Stegostoma tigrinum: one gene and its partners. The protein of the gene in region 1 purifies or fractionates together with the protein of each later gene. This does not show direct contact. Links are inferred from orthologs where the notes say so. Each region holds a gene or a part of one and is shown in the gene's direction. Other genes may lie near its edges.

The links. Proteins that work in one complex are often made in the same cells at the same time.
Region 2: the proteins of dis3l (region 1) and exosc2 purify together in Homo sapiens (affinity purification with mass spectrometry; 5 studies listed by BioGRID and IntAct, with this or other methods). This does not show direct contact. The link is inferred for Stegostoma tigrinum from reciprocal best matches to the Homo sapiens genes DIS3L and EXOSC2.
Region 3: the proteins of dis3l (region 1) and exosc4 purify together in Homo sapiens (affinity purification with mass spectrometry; 5 studies listed by BioGRID and IntAct, with this or other methods). This does not show direct contact. The link is inferred for Stegostoma tigrinum from reciprocal best matches to the Homo sapiens genes DIS3L and EXOSC4.

The regions. Positions count from the first base shown.
Region 1 is NC_081386.1:34,950,595-34,957,758, reverse strand, and holds the start of dis3l (DIS3-like exonuclease 1), read left to right. Parts: upstream 1-4,153; 5' UTR 4,154-4,283; coding exon 4,284-4,443; exon of another isoform or gene 4,444-4,888; intron 4,889-5,329; coding exon 5,330-5,483; intron 5,484-7,164. UniProt on the Homo sapiens protein: Catalytic component of the RNA exosome complex which has 3'->5' exoribonuclease activity and participates in a multitude of cellular RNA processing and degradation events.
Region 2 is NC_081382.1:41,692,214-41,699,841, reverse strand, and holds the start of exosc2 (exosome complex component RRP4), read left to right. Parts: upstream 1-4,606; 5' UTR 4,607-4,784; coding exon 4,785-4,900; intron 4,901-7,401; coding exon 7,402-7,503; intron 7,504-7,628. UniProt on the Homo sapiens protein: Non-catalytic component of the RNA exosome complex which has 3'->5' exoribonuclease activity and participates in a multitude of cellular RNA processing and degradation events.
Region 3 is NC_081355.1:159,722,745-159,729,733, forward strand, and holds the start of exosc4 (exosome complex component RRP41), read left to right. Parts: upstream 1-3,967; 5' UTR 3,968-4,013; coding exon 4,014-4,184; intron 4,185-4,900; coding exon 4,901-5,107; intron 5,108-6,989. UniProt on the Homo sapiens protein: Non-catalytic component of the RNA exosome complex which has 3'->5' exoribonuclease activity and participates in a multitude of cellular RNA processing and degradation events.

The DNA.
Region 1 (7,164 bases):
CATTCAGCCCTGAAAGTGTCCAGCACGTCCATCAATCATCACTTCACAGAGAAAGAAAGGTTATCTGTGTGGTCAGGATCATCAAGAAAATTAACCTTTCCTTCTGGCTCAGATGCTGATCGATTTGCTGCATGTGATCTGCCAGACAAAATCGACGCTAATTTACCTAACAAAGAAAACTAACCATTCATAGGGCAACATTTCGGGAGCCCCAGTTATTTCACAACATGAATGAGCGGACTGCTGTGGTGTTTTCTTGCACCTGCAAGTATAGTTAGCGCATCTGCCCCTTTTGTTTTGCTCCATTAAAGATGTGGAGAAAGAACCATGACAGCTTAGGGTTAGTACAAATTATTTTTAAAGAAAGATTGACGATTTTTAGAAGTTTAGAAGCAACGTACACATTTTTATTGGGATGGGAGATATGTGCTGGCAGTTCCACGACACCAAGGTTTTGTTTTTCAGAATGTGAGGGATGCAGGTCGTTAATGCTGGGAAACAATTCTCTTTGATGTCAATTTTACATCAAGCATCATGAAATGGTCCAAATTCTGAGTAAAGCTCTACTTAATTCAAGAAAAAGAAACCGTGCCTTCAATTAAACCAATCTTTGTACGTTTGAATATTTCAGTTCATTGCTTTCTACTGTATTTTCTAGTAAGATTGAGCCATAAGCTTTTGATGTAAGACAACAAAGTGTGGAGTTGGATGAACCCAGCAGGTCAAGCAGCATCTCAGGAGCACAAAAGCTGACGTTTCGGGCTTAGACCCTTCATCAGAAAAGGGGGATGGGGAGAGGGTTCTGGAATAAATAGGGACAGAAGGGGAGGTGGACTGAAGATGGAGAGAAAAAGAGATAGGTGGAGAGGAGAGAATAGGTAGGCAAGGGGTAGGTCAGTCCAGGGAAGACGGGCAGGTCAAGGAAGTGGGATGAGGTTAGTAGGTAGGAAATGGAGGTGCGGCTTGCGGTGGGAGGAAGGGATAGGTGAGAGGAAGAACAGGTTAGGGAGGTGGGGATAAGTTGGGCTGGTTTTGGGTTGCAGTGGGGGGAGGAGACAAGCTGGGCTGGTTTTGGGATGCAGTGGGGGAAGGGGAGATTTTGAAGCTGGTGAAGTCCACATTGATACCATTGGGCTGCAGGGTTCCCAAGCAGAATATGAGTTGCTGTTCCTGCAACCTTCGGGTGGCATCATTGTGGCACTGCAGGAGGCTCATGATGGACATGTCGTCTAAGGAATGGGAGAAGGAGATAAAATGGTTTGTGACTGGGAGGTGCAGTTGTTTATTGCGAACTGAGTGGAGGTGTTCTGCAAAGCGGTCCCCAAGCCTCCACTTGGTTTCCCCAATGTAGAGGAAGCCACACCGGGAACAGTGGATACAGTATACCACATTGGCAGATGTGCAGGTGAACCTCTGCTTAATATGGAAAGTCATCTTGGGGCCTGGGATGGTGGTGAGGGAGGAGGTGTGGGGGCAAGTGTAGCACTTCCTGCGGTTGCAGGGGAAGGTGTCGGGTGTGGTGGTGTTGGAGGGGAGTGTGGAGCGAACAAGGGAGTCACAGAGAGGGTGGTCTCTCCGGAAGGCAGACTAAACCAAGCAGAGGCTTGGGGACCGCTTTGCAGAACACCTCAGCTCGGTTCACAATAAACAACTGCACCTCCCAGTCACGAACCGTTTTATCTCCTTCTCCCATTCTTTAGATGGCATGTCCATCATGGGCCTCCTGCAGTGCCACAATGATGCCACCTGAAGGTTGCAGGAACAGCAACTCATATTCTGCTTGGGAACCCTGCAGCCCAATGGTATCAATGTGGACTTCACAAGCTTCAAAATCTCCCCTTCCCCCACTGCATCCCAAAACCAGCCCAGCTCGTCCCCTCTGCCCACTGCATCCCAAAACCAGCCCAGCTTATCCCCACCTCCCTAACCTGTTCTTCCTCTCACCTATCCCTTCCTCCCACCTCAAGCCACACCTCCATTTCCTACCTACTAACCTCATCCCACCTCCTTGACCTGTCTGTCTTCCCTGGACTGACCTATCCCCTCCCTACCTATTCTCTCCTCTCCACCTATCTCCATTTCTCTCCATCTTCGGTCCACCTCCCCCTCTCTCCCTATTTATTCCAGAACCCTCTCCCCATCCCTCTTTTCTGATGAAGAGTCTAGGCCTGAAACGTCAGCTTTTGTGCTCCTGAGATGCTGCTTGACCTGCTGTGTTCATCCAGCTCCACACTTTGTTGTCCTGGTTTCTCCAGCACCTGCAGTCCCCATTATCTCTGATCACAGCTTTTGATGTAAGACTGGTACTGATGTGAAGATGTTTAAGGTGTTGTATGAGGTAAGCGTAGCGACATGATTTGGGAATCAAACTTGACCTGAATATCGAAAGTAACTGAAACCACCCAAGAGTAGCATTTCATGCCATGATTTACACTTAAGGCAGTTCAGCTTGTGTCTGTTATGAACTTGGAAATATAGGAACAGGAGTAGGCCATTCGGGCTGTTCTGTTCAATGAGATCATGGCTGCTGTATAGCTTAACTCCTTTTGGCCTTTGTCCCTTAATATCTTTGCTGAATAAAAATGCATCTAAAAATAACAATTGATCCACTGCAGTTTATGGAGGAGAGTTCCAAACCTCTACCATTCTTTGTGTGTGCAAGTGTTTTCCACCATCTCCCCTGAACGGTCTGGCCCTAATTCTCAGCCTATGTCCTCTGGTTCTCGAATCACTGACCAGGGCAATATCTTGACCTACCCTGTCTTTTCTAGTTAATATATTGAAGACTTCAATGGGATCACTCCTAATCTTCCAAATTCTGGAAAAAAAGGCCTAATTTGTCTAATCTTTCCTCATATAGTAGCCACTGGTCCAGGTTTCATTCTTGTATACCTATGTTGTACTCCCTCCAAGGCGAAGATATCCTTCCTCAGGTGTTGTGCGCAGATCTGCTCACAGTATTCCAACTGGGGTCGAACCAGTATAACAGCAACATAACTTCTGCCATCTTATTCTCCAGTCCGCTGGTTTTAAATGTTAGCATGCCGTTAGCTTTCTTCATTATTCTCTGTACGTGTTCATTGCGTTTTAAGCTCGGGTAAATGGAACTGTTTCAGTTTCGGAAACCCAGGCAGGGGGCGGACTAAAGGGTTTTTTTCGTGTTGTATGACTCTATGCACCCCAAGTCTCTTTGGACAGCCATTGTATTTAAATTAATAGCATCTAGAAAGTTCCAGTCCAAATTTGAAAAAGAAATTATAATCATTATTACATGAGAGGAACGCAATTTTTTCCCTTCTAAGAAACCGTAATCACCGAGAATGGAGGTCTGGAGATTCATGTAAGCACATATGCACAGAACTCCCTCAGTCACATAATTATTTAAGACTCGTACTAGGAGCATAAAGTATCCTAATGATATTACCTCTTTTGTTTATACATTCCACTTTTATTTAGATCTAATGTTATCTCTAGAATGATTCATGGATTTTCAACCAGTTTATTCGACATTTTTTACTGCAAATCTCCGAGTGGCATCTTCCTGCAGTAACATTGAATACCGTGTGAGAATCTTCGACATCTTCAAGGCTATGTATTGCGATCAAGAGATCAGTTTGCTACAAAGTCGAGAAACTCCCCGATATTCAGTGAGACCCAATTCTGAGCAGAGTTGCTAATGTAGGAAAGTACTTTCTCTAAAAAGGGAGTAATATAATCAAAAAGAAACAGACAGATCTGAAATTCGTTAAAGTGGGGTGATTTGTTTCATGTTAACAGTCAAGCACACAAACAGTAGGTTACCTTTACGTGGAGATAGCAGGAACTGCAGATGCTGGAGAATCTGAAATAACAAGGTGTAGAACTGGATGAGCACAGCGCCAAGCAGCATCAGAGAAGCAGGAAAGCTGACGTTTCGGGCCTAGACCTCTTTTCAGAAACGTCAGCCTTCCTGCTCCTCTGATGCAGCTTGGCCTGCTGTGTTCATCCTGCTCTACATCTTGTTACCTTTTATTTGGAAATGTGTAACACATTCAGATTGCAAGGAGCAGTTCAGTTTGCGCATGCGCTCCTAGTCCATCACTTTGCCCCGCAGTGCAACCCTTTGCCCCGCAGCACCGAATTACATTTCCGGTTCACACGCGGGGGAAGCTGTCAGGTTGAGGCGGGCGGAAAATGGGCGCTAGGAAGGCAGGAGGTGTTTGTTCGAGTTGTTTACATCCGCGGAGCGTGGTCTTCCTGGGGCTTGTCGGAGAATTGAGTTCGAGAAGAAAAGTAATCGCTTAATGGCTCCTCCGCTTGTTTACAACAGTGTAATGATAAAAACGGAGAAGGTGCTGCACCTGAGGAGCTGCAAAGGGAAATCAGTTCGAGTTGTGAGGGAGCATTACCTCAGGCAGTCGGTTCCCTGTAACAGTTCCCTGTGCCAGGCTGAGTGCTACAATGGTAAAGTATGGCCGAGCGGGTACAGTCATCTACAAAGCAGAACTCTCAACGATATTAAAACTCATGGAGAAAAGAAAATATTGCATTTATATCACATTTTTCTGGCGGTTTCAAAGTGTTTTATAACCAATGAAGTACTTAGAAATGTGGCCACTGATGTAGGAAACACAGCAGCCAATTTGCACTCAACAAGATCCCAAAACAGCAGTTCCTGTCCAGAAAATCTCTTCCCGATGTTGATTGAACATAGATATTGGCCACGATGGCAGGGAGAACTTCCCTGCTGTTCTGTGAAGTAGAGCTTGTGGGATCTTTTATATCCACCTGAAAGATGACACCTCTGACAGTGCAGCACTTTCTCAAGTACTGTACTGGGAGTGTCGGCCTGGATTGAGTAGTCGAGCTTCTGATGTGGGACTTGAACATACAACCTCCTGACTCAGAGGTGAGATAATGCTACCTATTGAACCACAGTTGACATTGTAAAAATTGAATAAAATAATACTCAAAAATATTCAGGATGAGGATAGAACTGAACTCCTAATATAGAAGGAATTTTATATATCTTTCATTTCCTGTGAACATCCCAAAGATATATACAATTGAATTAAGTTTGAAGTACAGTGAGTATGCAAGTAAATTCTCACTTAGAAATATCTCTCAGATGTAATTGGACAATCTGCAACTGAGGTTAGTTGAGGGAAAATACTGCCCAGGATATTGAGAGAGCTCCTTGTTTCTTCTAATAGTGCCATGGGATCTTTTATTTTCATATGAACATTGAAATAGTAACTAAATATCTCACCTGAATATCAGTGTTACTTTTGCAACTAACGTACTGTCTTTTATGCTACTTGCTTAATTCTGCGTTAACTTAATGTTTCAGAAGGGAAATTGTTGTCAGAAAGTGCAACTCATTATGTGATACCTGACTGGAAAGTGGTGCAGGATTATTTGGAGATACTTGAGTTTCCAGAATTGAGAGGCATTGTCTTCATGCAGACAGCTTGTCAGGCTGTCCAACACCAGAAGGGACGCAGGTTTGTGATGGCTATCTATCTTTAATATTTGATGGATTTAAAGATCACGCAAAGCACTGGTCAGTTACTGAATCAAACAGTTAAAGCTTGAGCACTATGATTATTTAACTATGGCCTGTGATTTGTAACTCATAATATTTGATCAAAAACAGAAGTTGCAGGAAAAGCTCAGCAGGTCTGGCAGCATCTGCAAAGAAAAGGCCAGAGCTTCTGTTTCTGACTTACAGTGTCTGCAGTTCTTTTGGTTTCTGTAATATTTGATTTTTATCTTGATTTTTAAAATTACTTGCAGTGAATAACAGCAGTTTGCAACAATACATATTTGGTGTAAAATCAGCATGTCTGTTGTCAATGGCCAACTGACTGAGGGCTGATATGGCCTGTGACAAACATGGTGCATTTGTTGACTAACTGTAGAAAGATCAACATTGTGTTCTTCCACTTCCAAATGCAATTTGAAGGTGAAGGCAACACCAGCAAACAGGTCAGAATGTGACAAGTTCCCAGTGAACTAAAAGCAGCAGGTTTTCAAGGGTGAAAGAAGTTCACAAAATGATAAAGGAAACAGCTGATATTTAGGTCCAAGGTATCGAGCTGGATGAACACAGCAGGCCAAGCAGCATCATAGGAGCAGCAGAGCTCCTATGATGCTGCTTGGCTTGCTGTGTTCATCCAGCTCTACACCTTGTTGTCTCAGATTCTCCAGCATCTGCAGTTCCTACTATCTCTGATATTTATGTCCTGAGGTTTATAGTTGGAGTGACCTCAAACCTCCCGGTAATTATAATGAAAACTAACTAACTATTACTTGAAGGCATTCTACCTTTGTACAGAATTATATAGATGCTGTTTTCTTGTTCTCATATGTGGTTAAGTATGTTGATGTTGTTATATCATCTGGCAAATCACAAACTCTCCTCCATAAACTGCAGTAGACCAATAAATGCTGTGATCGGAGGGGAAACTCTGGAGAATTCCTGTACAATATTTCTTTATTGATAAGCTCGTGGAAGGATCCTAGGTGCATGACTACTGTTTTGCAGTGCTTTAAATTTATGGAGCTATAGAGTTATACAGCACAGAAACAGATACCTTGGATCAACTTGTCTGTGCCAACCAGATATCCTAAACTGATCTAATTCCATTTGCTAACATTTGGCCCATATCCCTCTAAACACTTGCAATTCATGTACCCATCCATATGCCTTGTAAATGTTGTTATTGTACTCAACTCACCCACCTCCTCTGGCAGCACATTTCATACACGCACCACCCTATGAGTGAAAAAGTTGCCCCTTGGATCCCTTTTGCATCTTTCCTCTCTCACTTTAAACCTATGTCCTCAATTTTGGACTCCCTTACCCTGGGAAAAAGACCTTGGCCTTTCACCCTATCCATGCCCCTCATGATTTTATAAACCTCTATAAAGTCACTTCTCAGCCTCCAGCGGTACAGAGGAAAATACTCCAGCCTATTCAGCTTCACCTTATAGCTCCAACCCTCCAATCCCAGCAACATCCTTACAAATCTTTTTTGAACCTTATCAAATTTAACAACATCTTTCCTATAACAGGAAGACCAGAATTGAATGCAATATTCTGAAAGTGGCCTCACCAATATCCTGTACAGCTGCACCATGATGTACACGAATGCTGTACTCAGTGCATGGCCAAAGAAGGTA
Region 2 (7,628 bases), on another chromosome or scaffold:
GGACCGCAACTTTCCCCCCACAGTGATCGAGAACGCCCTTGACCGCGTCTCCCGTATTTCCCGCAACAAATCCCTCACACCCCGCCCCCGCCACAACCGCCCCAAGAGGATCCCCCTCGTTCTCACACACCACCCTACCAACCTCCGGATACAACGCATTATCCTCCGACACTTCCGCCATTTACAATCCGACCCCACCACCCAAGACATTTTTCCATCCCCTCCCCTGTCAGCTTTCCGGAGAGACCACTCTCTCTGTGACTCCCTTGTTCGGTCCACACTGCCTTCCAACCCCACCACACCCGGCACCTTCCTCTGCAACCGCAGGAAATGCTACACCTGTCCCCACACCTCCTCCCTCACCCCCATCCCAGGCCCCAAGATGACATTCCACATTAAGCAGAGGTTCACCTGCACATCTGCCAATGTGGTATACTGCATCCACTGTACCCGGTGCGGCTTCCTCTACATTGGGGAAACCAAGCGGAGGCTTGGGGACCGCTTTGTAGAACACCTCCGCTCAGTTCGCAACAAACAACTGCACCTCCCAGTCGCAAACCATTTCCACTCCCCCTCCCATTCTCTAGATGACATGTCCATCATGGGCCTCCTGCAGTGCCACAATGATGCCAACCGAAGGTTGCAGGAACAGCAACTCCTATTCCGCCTGGGAACGCTGCAGCCATATGGTATCAATGTGGACTTCACCAGTTTCAAAATCTCCCCTTCCCCTACTGCATCCCTAAACCAGCCCAGTTCATCCCCTCCCCCCACTGCACCACACAACCAGCCCAGCTCTTCCCCCCCCACCCACTGCATCCCAAAACCAGTCCAACCTGTCTCTGCCTCCCTAACCTGTTCTTCCTCTCACCCATCCCTTCCTCCCACCCCAAGCCGCACCTCCATCTCCTACCTACTAACCTCATCCCACCTCCTTGACCTGTCCGTCTTCCCTGGACTGACCTATCCCCTCCCTACCTCCCCACCTACACTCTCTCCACCTATCTTCTTTACTCTCCATCTTCGGTCCGCCTCCCCCTCTCTCCCTATTTATTCCAGTTCCCTCTCCCCATCCCCCTCTCTGATGAAGGGTCTAGGCCCGAAACGTCAGCTTTTGTGCTCCTGAGATGCTGCTTGGCCTGCTGTGTTCATCCAGCCTCACATTTTATTGCCTTTACATTGTTGCTTTGCAAACAGTGGAGAAGAAGAGATTCCTCTCCACACACTATCAGGGTTTGTTTGCAAAGCAAGTTTAGCTAGCAACAGATTATTTATTCAGACCAGTTGAGGTCACCAGTTTAACAATGCTCTGTGATTGGATCCTGGGCAACTGAACAGTTGCCATGTGTGTAGTGGACAAGGTCAGAAGGCTCTGTCTTCATATCTCTGCAGTAAAATCATTCTAGTTATTTTCTTCCAAAAGTTGCAATGATTTGTTGCTTTTAACCAATAATACAAAGACTGTATCAATTGCCTGTGCCTCCTGCCACAAAGTGAAAGAAACTGAAAAAAGACCAGGCAGTAGACGGTATCTGGAAGAAAAAGGTTCACCTTACTGAGTCTTGTGAACTCGTGCTTTTTGAACTCTGCTTGTCTGTCGGATCTTTCCTCTGTGTTTAACATCAATTTTTTTGGGGGTCTGGCGACTGTTTTCTGTTGGCTTGAATCTGTCAGTCAGGTAAGTTGGGAACTGTACAGACTTTGATTAAATCTTTTCATGATGCCCTAAGGAATAGAGAGGCTCAAGCATCAGCACACTGTCCCAAGTGGGATGTAACACTTAATACACTATGTATCCTTAACTCAGTCACTAACTACATGGTTTAGAAGACACTTGGGGCATCCTGAGATTGTGCTATATAAATTAACATTTTAAAATATATACAGATGTATGGAAAAAGGGCTTTTGAATAGATAATCGTTTGCTAGCACAGATAATATTCCCATTTATATTTACATAAAAATACAAATTATGAGTTGTCATAGGCCATTCAGGCTGAGGGCCTAAATGATCTTCTCCTGTTCCTAGTTCATATGTATAAATGGGCCATACTGTCCGTAACATTGGAAGCAATGTAATGCCTGAAAGTATGATGGAAGCAGATTCAGTTGAGACATTCAAGAGACCATTGGATGATTATTTGGTTAGGAATAACTTGCAAGAATAGGCAAAAGAGCAGAAGATTGACATTAGGTAATAATATGCACTCGAGCTTGCATAGACACGATGGGCTGAATAGCCTCCACCTATGCCATTTGTGTTTTTTTGGCCAAACATTAATCCTCTTAAATGTTTGTCTGAGCTAACTAGTAACAATACTGTGTCAGGGAGATAGAATAACGGAAATAATTGTAATCTTACATACAAAATATACATACATTTGTCAACAGTAAATCATTGTAGCCTTGTTAATTGTGTCAGAAATCAATTACGAAAGGTATTTTGTAATATTAGGATTGAGTATCAATAAAGGATATTGCTGGAAAAGAGAAGCTTTTTGGATGTTTTTCAAATTGTCATCTTAGTCTTTTCCTCTATTCTTTGTGTAATAAACTTAAATTCTTTTTATCAAAGATACAATGGCAACCACTGGTGACTGACCACCATAGTAACAGAATTGTGAAAATAAGAAATGCAAACAGAAATTGCTAGAGAAATTCAGCAAGTCTTGCAGCAAAGTGTTGAGCTGGATGAACACAGCAGGCCAAGCAGCATTTCAGGAGCACAAAAGCTGACCTCGACCCTTCATCAGAAAAGGGGAATGGGGAGAGGGTTCTGAGATAAATAGGGAGAGAGGGGGAGGTGGACCGAAGGTGGATAGAGGTGAAGATAGGTGGAGAGGAGGCAGACAAATTAAAGGGGTGGGGATGGAGCCTGTAGAGGTGAGTATAGGTTGCAGCATCTTTGGGCAGGAAGCAGAGTTAACATTTTGAGAAGATTTGTAGCTCAGGTTGAGGTTCTGGATGTGAGTTTGCTCGCTGAGCTGGAAGGTTAGTTTTTCAGACGTTTCGTCACTATTCTAGGTAACATCATCAGTGAGCCTCTGATGAAGCGCTGGTGTTATGTCCCGCTTTCTATTTATCTGGTTAGGCTTCCTTGGGTTGGTGAATTAACGTTTTGGATCCAGTCACTGCCAGACCCGGTGAGTTTCTCCAGCAATTTCTGTTTGTGTTTCTGTTATCCAGCATCTGGAATTTTTTTTGAAAATGCGACATGGTCTATCAAGACAGATGTTACTCTGGAATTTGACTTGTCCAGTATTACCATGAACTGGTGCCTAAGCAGGCAGTAATCTAGCCAAATGGTGATAGTGAGGGCAACCAACGAAAACCACTATCCTACCCCTTCTGTGTTGCCCATGGTTTCCTCTTGTATTGACAAGTCATCACCTCCTAAGCAGTGCATTCCAGGTGTCCCTTCCCATGTCACCTTTACTTTTGCCAGCTATTGATAAAAGTAGAGGCATATGTATTTCAAAATTTGAGAAACATGTTTTTAAGAAGCCATATTGTTTGTTTAGACCTGTGCAAGTATTAGTGAAATAATATTCAGCCTTACTAGAAGTATGGTTTGGGACAGCATGGTGGCTCAACAGTTAGCATTATTACTTCACAAGTGCCAGGGACCCAAGTTCAATTCCAGCCCTTTGGGTGGCTCGTGTGTGGAGTTTGTGTCAGATGCTCCAGGTTGTTCCTACAGATCAAAGATTTGCAGCTTTAGGTGGACTGGCCATGTTTAACGTGGGGCGAACAAGGATAGGGTGGGCTGCTCTGCGGGTCGTTGCAGATTCATAGGGTCATAGTTCGTGCGATGGGCCGAATGGCCTCTTTCAGCGTTGTTGGGATTCTACGAAATAAGATTGACCAACAATAGATCCAGAACTAGTAAATCACTACGTGTGCTTTCATATTATTTAGTTATAGTTTAAGTTTGACAGTGTTTAAAATTTGTTTTGGGTTTAACTTTGGACTCAAAATGGCGGCACCCACCATTTCCAGAGACGGACATCGAGTTAACCAGAACCTTGTAAAACGCGTAAAAATACTGGCAACAATATGGTAACTATCTGATTTGTTACGTTGAAGAGCTAATTGATTCACCACACAACATCATAGAAAAGCGCGGGTCGATTCGTTATTAGGACGATATAACGGTGCAGAGACAGCCCGGAAACAAACATGGAGGCAAGGAGAAAGGAGCCAAACATCTGCCAATAACAAAGATGGTGACAGTTTCAGTCTGCCAGTAAGAAACATGGCGATAATCAATCACCACCCCCCCCAATCCCCAAAGACTTGTCGAATGCCTGTGTTAAAAATGGCGGAAGTAGAGCTGGCGTGTCTTGCCAGTGTTAAAGATGGCAGTTAACAGCTCAAAACTGCGGATGATGGAAGACTGAAATAAAAATTTAAAGGATTCTGTTAATCGGGGCTTGCAGCAGCTCTACAGTGATTGAGTTCAGTAAATGTGGTAAAAGCTGGATTTTGCAAACAATGCGAGAAATATTTGAGAGGTTTGACGAACACATGGAAGTGAAATGTTAATTCTGTGTATCTTTTCATGTTTCTTTTTTTGTTTATATCCGACTTTCAGCATCAGGTATTCAGTAACGTAGGATTCGCCGACGTGAAAGATATCGATGTGGTCATAACCACGGAAGGCTATTTGCCAATATTGAAGATGGCGGCTGCAATGATATTTGGCAGCTGATGCCCGTTCGCCATATCAAAGATGGCGGCAGTGGTTATAGGTGGCCGCCGCAGGCTGTACGCCAGTAACAAAGATGGCGGTGGACATTCGGTTACCGACGGCGCGAAAGCGTGTCTCTTTACCGGCTGAGGTCGGTAAACATCTGGTATCACCGGGAGACACCATCACCACCGACACCGGTTTCATGAGGTAAAACTAACACAAAAATGGGAGAACTTTTATATTTTAAATCAGGACGTTAACTCCAGAGGCAAGGAAATCCACGTGGGTAGACGGTGCGCATTCGGCCTATAAATTTAAATCTTTTTATCAACGGTCAGTGACTGAAACTCGTTCAAAGTCACATCTCCATAAATACTAGATGGTCGCCATCAGTGCAAACTCGATAGCCTGCATCGAAATGATCTTTGAGAAACCCAGCAGGCCTGTCAGCATCTCTGGAGATATGACCATTCGTTCAGAACATAAAATATTAATTCTGTTTTCTCTCTCAGCAGATGCTGTGAGACCTGCTGAGTTTCTCCAGCATTTTGCGTTTGTTCCAGATTTCCAATAGCTGCCTCATTCTTATTTACCACATCTGCCTCGTCTGTGTCTTAAAATAAGACTCTCCGCTGAATATACAAAAGGGAATGATAGTACTGGAAGCTTCCAAACAAGTATTAGAAAAGACAAAACAGAAGGTGAATCGTATTGGACTCAGTGTAACCTGTATAACCCTCTGCCAGGTTTCACCAGTTTTTATTTCAGATTTCCAACATTTGCAGTGGTTGCTAAAGCAATGTCATCCAGTGCCAGTCTCCTGCTTTTTCCCAATCTTGCATGTTATTTTATCTAAATAATTATTCAATGTTGTCTTAAGTGCATCAGCTGAACCATTCTCCACATTTCCAGTCTCTATGTTCCCTGTCCTGAGTATGCTCACTGAATTTTTTTTTTTCTTGACTTCCTTCTTGTTTCATTTGCAGGTTACTTTAAATTGATGCTCTCCTCTTCTTGTTCCTTTCAAAAGCAGAAACAGTTTCTCCCTATTTTACCCTCTTAAGCTTGTTCTTGATTTCAAAATCTCTATCAGATTGCATTTTAGCTGCCTTCTCTCTCTCTAAAACAGTTATAGCTTCACCAGTCTGTGCTCATTTACTGATATTCCTCATCGTCGGAAGCATTCTTGCAAGCCACTTATACGTTCTCTCCAATGTGTTCACATCTTTTCCTACATGTGGCAGCCAGAACTGTTCACAATACTCGAGCTGAGATCTAACAAGTGCCTTGTATACATTAACAGACAGACTTTAGAAAGAAGGCATAAAGATGACTTAGACTGGTGTCGTGCATATGGCTTTCTGCTTTCATTCTTCAAATCTGTGACTGTTTCATCACTAACTGGAACACAAAATAAATGCATTTATTAATAAAATAATTGGCACAGCAGCCAACACTTCTGTCTCTTGATGACAGGGATTCGGGTTCAATTTTAGCCTTGGGTGACTCTCTCTGGAGTTTGCATGTTTTGCTCTGTGGCTTTCTGTTGGGTGCTCCAGTTTCGTCCCACAGTCCAAAACTGTACAAGTTCGGTGGATTGACTAAATTACCCCACGGTGTCCGTGGATGTGCAGACTACGTGGATCAGCCATGATTCATACAACATTACAGGATAGGATGGGGAGGGCAGTGGGAATGCTGTTCAGAGGGTCAGTGTGGATTCTATGGGGCAAATGGCTTCTTTCCATCCTGTGGTGATTCTAGGAAACTTTAGGTTGGGGTGTTTTGAACCATCAGCAATCGAGGCTGGTAAATCTGCTGCCACAGCCGTACGACAACTTCAAAAGGGAATTTCCAATTGGGCTGTTTCGCAAGTATGCGCAATCTCGTAATGCTGGTGACATGCTTTTAACATATGTTGATTTTTGATAGTGTGCTCAAGTTTATCTTTGAAATAAAGATTTTCTTTCCCTTTAGAATTGCTATATTAGGAGATATGGGGAGGAAAATAGCCACCACATGTCTTTATGGTGTTTGTGCTCTGATTCTTACTTGCACTCTACCTGCCAGTTTTGAATGCAGTGTTTGGAGACTTGGCTCAAGGCCAGCCTCCTGTAACCTTCCTTTTCAAGTAATCCTGCTTGTTTCAACAAATCTATTAAGGTGAATTTTTATGCACTGCCCGTTTGCCAGCATTGCACATTTTAGTTCTTATTGACCCCATGCAACACTCAGTTGCTGAAGTACATCAGTTTTTTTTTGTGAAAACAACCAATGAATAAAACCAAGTCCTTCACTTTGCATCCCAACTGTATTGCCACAACTCCATCTTTTTAGTGTAACATAATACTGAGAGCATCAATTCGCCACATGGCAAGTGACAGATGTATTGGAAACTGTGGCCAATAAAGCTTATGAAACAGGTTCATTGGGATAGGGTGAAGACTTCCTAAGTGGACATGATCTTCAAAATTAAGACCAAGGCCTTGGAAATTAGGAAACATAAATACAGCAGAAGGTTGGCCAGCTAATAGCTCTAAATCTGAGATTGATTTATTCTATTCAAAAGATACAGTGGTGAGAGAAATAGACAAAAGTTCACATTCAGCACCGAACTCTCTCTTTGAAGAGTTGTAGGTTTCCATTAGCCTGCCTTGAGTGGGTAACTTTTGTGTATCCTAATACAGTATATATTATGTCTGTTCCAGAGGCCATGGTACCTATATGGAAGATGAGAAGCTAATTGCGTCAGTTGCTGGAGCTGTGGAAAGAGTGAACAAGTTGATATGTGTCAAACCACTTCAAACCAGGCATGTCCTTAACACTTACTGTCTGTGCATTTGGTCATCGAACAATGAGTAAATTTTATAGAAATGGTTTGATTCCATTTCATAACCAGTAGTTGTATTAAGGTTTGAAACAAGGTGCCCCACCC
Region 3 (6,989 bases), on another chromosome or scaffold:
CCTCACTGTTGGAGGGTCAGTACTGAGGAAGTGTCTCACTGTCGGAGGGTCAGTACTGAGGAAGTGTCTCACTGTCGGAGGGTCAGTACTGTGGAAGTGTCTCACTGTCAGAGGGTCAGTACTGAGGGAGTGCCTCACTGTTGGAGGGTCAGTTCTGAGGGTGTGTCTCACTGTTGGAGGGTTGGTGCTGAGGGAGTGGGCACTGTCGGAGGGTCAGTGCTGAGGGAGCACCGCACTAGCAGAGAGTCAGCGCTGAGGGAGCGCACAGTTTTGGAGGCTCAGTGCTAAGGGAGTGTCGCATTGTCATAGGGTCAGTGCTGAGGGATCGCCTCACTGACGGAGTGTCAGTACTGAGTGACCGCCGCACTGTCGGAGGGTCAGTGCTGAGGGAGCACCACACTGTCGGAGTGTCAGTGCTGAGGGAGCACCGCACTGTCGGAGGGTCAGTGCTGAGGAAGCGTTGCACTGTTGGAGGGTCAGTGCTGAGGGAGCGCCGCACTGTCGGAGGGTCAGTGCTGAGGGAGTGCTGCACTGTCGGAGGGTCAGTGCTGAGAGAGTGCTGCATTGTCGGAGGGTCAGTACTGAAAGAGTGCCTCACTGCTGGAGGGTCACAGGTGGCCATAAAAGATCATGGCACTTTTGAAACAAGGGCAGAGGCAGCCCCCACAGGCTCTGGTGCCAATGTTTGTCCCTTATCACAGATCCAATGTCAATTTGCTCACTCTTACGCTATTGTCTGTGCATGTTTGCTGTGCGCAAATCAATTGCCTTATATCCTACATTCCAACCTTGACTAGACTTCAAAAGTTCTTTAGTAAAATGCTTTAGGATATTGAGAGGAAGTTAACAACAGTGTCTAACTGCAGTTATCATTTTGATTAATTGTAAATGATAAGTCTGCTACAAAAAATGCAACCGAGTTATTCTGGCTAATTTTAAACTTGCAGACCCTCTCGACCACACGGTCTTTGTTAATGTGTAACAAAGCTTTGCAAACTAACGTGTGTTTATGAATCTTTGTTAATCTGTGATCCTCGTTCTGTCGCTCAGCACCAAAGCTTACCACACTGTGTAATTTGAAAGGAGCAGGAATTTGTTCAGTGAGATGACGTAAACTGGAAGACTACTTCTGTTGAACATGGATTGATACAGACTCACCTGCGGCACAGGCAGTAAAAATGAATAAATCAACATCAACCCTCCCGATGTTGCTCCTGATCATTCAGTGCCAGCTAGCTGTGCTGGCAAGTTTTACAAATTGCTTCAAAGTTCAGATATCTTAAAAGCAAAGAAAGGAAAACCACCAGTTAGAATTATTTTAAACACCAAGTGCATGGTTTCCACAAAAGGCTAGAATTACGGAGCAGTGGGGAGAAGAGGATGCTGGTGAGTATCTAACCACCCTCCCCAGTCACATCAACTCAGTATGCTTCCCATCAGCCAAGCTGCAAATCCCTGCCTGGCTAATCCTGCCAGTCTGACCCCAGTCCCTTCAGTCTGATGTCCTGAACCCCTGTCAGTCTAACCCCAGTCCCATCAGTCTGATGTCCTGAACCCCTGTCAGTCTGACCCCAGTCCCATCAGTCTGATGTCCTGAACCCCTGTCAGTCTAACCCCAGTCCCTTCAGTCTGATGTCCTGAACCCCTGTCAGTCTGACCCCAGTCCCATCAGTCTGATGTCCTGAACCCCTGTCAGTCTAACCCCAGTCCCTTCAGTCTGATGTCCTGAACCCCTGTCAGTCTGACCCCAGTCCCATCAGTCTGATGTCCTGAACCCCTGTCAGTCTAACCCCAGTCCCATCAGTCTGATGTCCTGAACCCCTGTCAGTCTAACCCCAGTCCCATCAGTCTGATGTCCTGAACCCCTGTCAGTCTAACCCCAGTCCCTTCAGTCTGATGTCCTGAACCCCTGTCAGTCTGACCCCAGTCCCATCAGTCTGATGTCCTGAACCCCTGGCAGTCTAACCCCAGTCCCTTCAGTCTGATGTCCTGAAACCCTGTCAGTCTGACCGCAGTCCCATCAGTCTGATGTCCTGAACCGCTGTCAGTCTGACTCCAGTCCCTTCAGTCTGATGTCCTGAACCCCTGTCAGTCTGACTCTAGTCCCTTCAGTCTGATGTCCTGAAACCCTGTCAGACTGACCCCAGTCCCATCAGTCTGATGTCCTGAACCCCCGTCAGTCTGACCCCAGGCCCATCAGTCTGATGTCCTGAACCCCTGTCAGTCTAACCCCAGTCCCATCAGTCTGATGTCCTGAACCCCTGTCATTCTGACTCCAGTCCCATCAGTCTGATGTCCTGAAACCCTGTCAGTCTAACCCCAGTCCCATCAGTCTGATGTCCTGAACCCCTGTCAGTCTGACCCCAGTCCCTTCAGTCTGATGTCCTGAACCCCCGTCAGTCTGACCTCAGTCCCATCAGTCTGATGTCCTGAACCCCTGTCAGTCTGACCCCAGTCCCTTCAGTCTGATGTCCTGAACCCCCGTCAGTCTGACCTCAGTCCCATCAGTCTGATGTCCTGAACCCCTGTCAGTCTGACCCCAGTCCCTTCAGTCTGATGTCCTGAACCCCCGTCAGTCTGACCTCAGTCCCATCAGTCTGATGTCCTGAACCCCTGTCAGTCTGACCCCAGTCCCATCAGTCTGATGTCCTGAACCCCTGTCAGTCTGACCCCAGTCCCTTCAGTCTGATGTCCTGAACCCCCGTCAGTCTGACCCCAGTCCCATCAGTCTGATGTCCTGAACCCCTGTCAGTCTGACCCCAGTCCCTTCAGTCTGATGTCCTGAACCCCTGTCAGTCTGACCCCAGTCCCATCAGTCTGATGTCCTGAACCCGTCAGTCTGACCCCAGTCCCATCAGTCTGATGTCCTGAACCCCTGTCAGTCTGACCCCAGTCCCTTCAGTCTGATGTCCTGAACCCCCGTCAGTCTGACCCCAGTCCCATCAGTCTGATGTCCTGAACCCCTGTCAGTCTGACCCCAGTCCCTTCAGTCTGATGTCCTGAACCCCTGTCAGTCTGACCCCAGTCCCATCAGTCTGATGTCCTGAACCCCTGTCAGTCTGACCCCAGTCCCATCAGTCTGATGTCCTGAACCCTGTCAGTCTGACTCCAGTCCCATCAGTCTGATGTCCTGATCCCTGTCAGTCTGACCCCAGTCCATCTGAACCAGTGTAACTCCCACAAACCGCTAGTTTAATCCCCCCGTCACCCCGAATCCTGGTCAGTCTGGTTGCCCCCTAACCCTGACCTCGGTGTCGGTCTAACACCACGAAGCCCTGACAGACTGATCGCCCCGAGCCTCCGGTCAAACTCACTCGGACACCTCTGCCTCTGTGACCGAGGCGTTGACCCGTCCACCGGCGAAGCCACGCCCAAACCCAGCCCCCTCCAATCACGAATAGGGGGGCGGGTCCGCACTGTCCAATCCTCAACGTCGACACTCCAATGGCCAATCGGGGAGAGAGCAAGGCAGCGTACCAACCAATCACAAAACAACAGCGCATGCATTGGTGCTGGGGGATCCACTCAGCAGAAAGGAACGCCGCAGCCGATGGAGCCCCACTTTGATTGGCGGAGCCCCCACCAATGCGCTCACAGTGCCAACAGATCAGATATTCTACATTTGGATTGGTCCTCACACTGGCCAATGCACTTTCGAAAGCTCTAGGAATTGCTTGGCAACCTTAGATGATAAGTCAATATTAAGTGGAACTGAGACGTTAGCGGCATTTTCTAAGGGAACTAGGGATTGAACTCAATTCGGAGGCACAGATTTAGAAGCAAACGTAAAGTCTTGTGCTGATCCTCTCAATACAGCATGATCTATTCTCTATTATACTGTCATCTGAAGGCTGCTGTCAATATCGAACTACAATTCCCAAGATGCAATCACTGAGCGGCTCAAAGGCTTTGGTTCCGGAGGACGCTGGGAGTTGTAGTCCGGGGGACGCCCCGCGGCCGCACGGGGGTTTCTGGGAGCTGCAGTCCATTTCCGGTACGAGACGGCCGACAAGATGGCGGGGATGGAGCTGCTCTCTGATCAGGGATACCGCGTGGACGGTCGGAAACCCACCGAGCTTCGGAAGATTCAGGCCCGAATGGGGGTGTTCGCTCAAGCCGATGGCTCAGCTTATATCGAGCAGGGGAATACCAAGGCGCTGGCAGTTGTTTACGGTCCGCATGAGGCAAGTACCCAGTGCGCATGTGTTTTGCTGGCGCGCATGTGCAGGCATGGCACGGGGTTAGATACAGAGTAAAGCTCACTCTACACTGTCCCCCATCAAACACTCCCAGGGACAGGGACAGCACGGTGTTAGATACAGAGTAAAGCTTCCTCTACACTATTCCCCATCAAACACTCTCAGGGACAGGGACAGCACAGGGTTAGATACAGAGTAAAGCTCCCTCTACACTGTCCCCATCAAACATTCTCAGGGACAGGGACAGGGACAGCACCGTGTTAGATACAGAGTAAAGCTTCCTCTACACTGTCCCCCATCAAACATTCTCAGGGACAGGGACAGCACGGTGTTAGATACAGAGTACAGCTACCTCTACACTGTCCCCCATCAAACATTCTCAGGGACAGGGACAGCACGGTGATAGATACAGAGTAAAGCTTCTTCTACACTGTCCCCCATCAAACATTCTCAGGACAGGGACTGCACAGGGTTAGATACAGAGTAAAGCTTCCTCTACACTGTCCCCCATCAAACATTCTCAGGACAGGGACTGCACAGGGTTAGATACAGAGTAAAGCTCTCTCTACACTGTCCCCATCAAACATGCCCAGGGACAGCACGGGGTTAGCTGTAGTGTAAAGCTCTCTCTACAATGTTCCTTTTGTTGCTGCCTGTGTCTGTGTTGTAGGTGATAGTGATCACAGTACCCTGTGTTTCAGGTTCGTGGTGCTCGCAGTAAAGCCCTACATGACAAAGCAATGGTGAACTGCCAGTACAGCATGGCGACCTTCAGCACAGGCGAGCGTAAGCGGAGACCCCATGGAGACCGCAAGTCATCAGAGATGACCCTGCACCTGAAACAGACATTCGAAGCTGCCATTTTGACACAGCTTTACCCGCGATCCCAAATTGATATTTACGTGCAGGTATTGTGTTCTGAGCCTTACCCTGGCCTCTAGATCTGATCTTCACTCGCTTGCTTGGCCCTTCTACCTGAGTCAGGTCCTGAACCTGAGTCCCCTCTCCCATCCCAGTTACCCTTTACTTAGTGCAGCTTCTTTTGTTAGGTGCTCTGCCTCACCCCACATGAACAGAAGTTCTTTCCTCTCATAGGAATTTCTGGAACACTGGGACTGAGCACTAGAAATTTCGGAAGGTCATTAAAAGTGATGTCAGGAAGTCCTTCCTCACATTAATGAGAGTGGAAATCTGGAACTGTCTCACTGAAAGATGGGAATGCAGTGGGTAAATTTGAATTTTGAAAGTATGGTAGAGAAACATGAGATGTCGGAGTTGAAGCTGTTGGAGCCTTCTCTGCCATTCACTGAGATCACTGGCTGATCTGATCCTCAACTCCACTCTCCTGCCTTTTCCCCTCAACAGCCTCCTGTGGCAAAGGATTCCACAGATCCACTCCTGTAGGAGGAGAAATTCCTCTTCATCTGTCTTCAATAGGTAATTCTGTGTTCTGAAATAATGTCCTCTGGTCATAGACTTTCACATAAGTGGGGAATGTTCGCACCTCCCAGTAATGAACCATTTCAAATCCTCCTCCCATTCCTCAGACGACATGTCCATCCTGCAGTTCCACAACGATTCTACCTGAAGGTTGCAGGAACAGCATCTCATATTCCGCTTGGGAGCCCTGCAACCCAATGGTATCAATGTGGACTTCACAAGCTTCAAAATCTCCCCTCCACCTGCCGCATCCCAAAACCAGACTAGCTCGTCGCCACCTCGCTAACCTGTCCTTCCTCTCACCTTTCCCCACCTCCCACCTCAAGCCCTACCCCCGTTTCCTACCGACTAACCTCATCCCGCCCCCTTGACCTGTTAGTCCTCCCTGGACTGACATATCCCCTCCCTATCTCTCCACCTACACTCACCCTTACTGGCTACATCCCCACCTCTTTGACCTGTCTGTCTCCTCTCCACATATCTTCTCCTCTATCCATCTTCTATCTGCCTCCCGTCTCTCCATATTTATTTCTGAAACCCCTTTCCCCTCCCCCATTTCTGAAGAAGGGTCTAGGCCCGAAATGTCAGCTTTCCTGCTCCTCTGATGCTGCTCAGCCTGCTGTGTTCATCCAGCCCTACACCTTGTTATCTCTAATATCCTTGCATCTACCCAGTCAAGCACCCTAAGAATCTTGCATTTCAATAAGGTCACCTCTCATTCTTTTATATTCTAATAAGTACAGATGCAATAAACTCAACTTCTTGATTAGACAGTCCCGATATGCCTGGTATCAGCCAAATGAACCTTCTCTGGACTGCCTGCAATGCCAGTTATTCTGTCCTTTGATAAAAGGGCCCAGAACTGTTCACAATATTCCAGCTGTAGTCTGACTAGTGCCTTGTACAGTTTCAGTAAAACCTCTCTACTTTTATATTCCACTCTGTTTGAAATAAGAACCTGCCCCTCTCAAAGCCATGCTGACTCCCTTTAATCATGCTATGCTTTTCCAGAGAGTCATAAATCCTATCCCTCAGAATTCTTTCCAAAACCTTGCTGACCACAGACGTAAGACTGACTGGTCTGTAATTTCCAGGGATTTCCCTATTCCCTCTCTTGAAAAGAGGAACAACATTTGCCTCCCTCCAATCTTCCGGTACGACTCCCACGGAGAGTGAGGAAGCAAAGATCTTCGCCAGCGTCTTAGCAACCTCCTTTCTCGCTTCCTGGAGCAACCTAGAATAAATGTTTTTGGAAATATGGACTTAATGAACTCTTCTGCACTGTGATTCTAAGAATCTGATAAGCAGTCTTCACTGTCACCTTTAGCTTTACTGAGTTCAAAGTGAGAG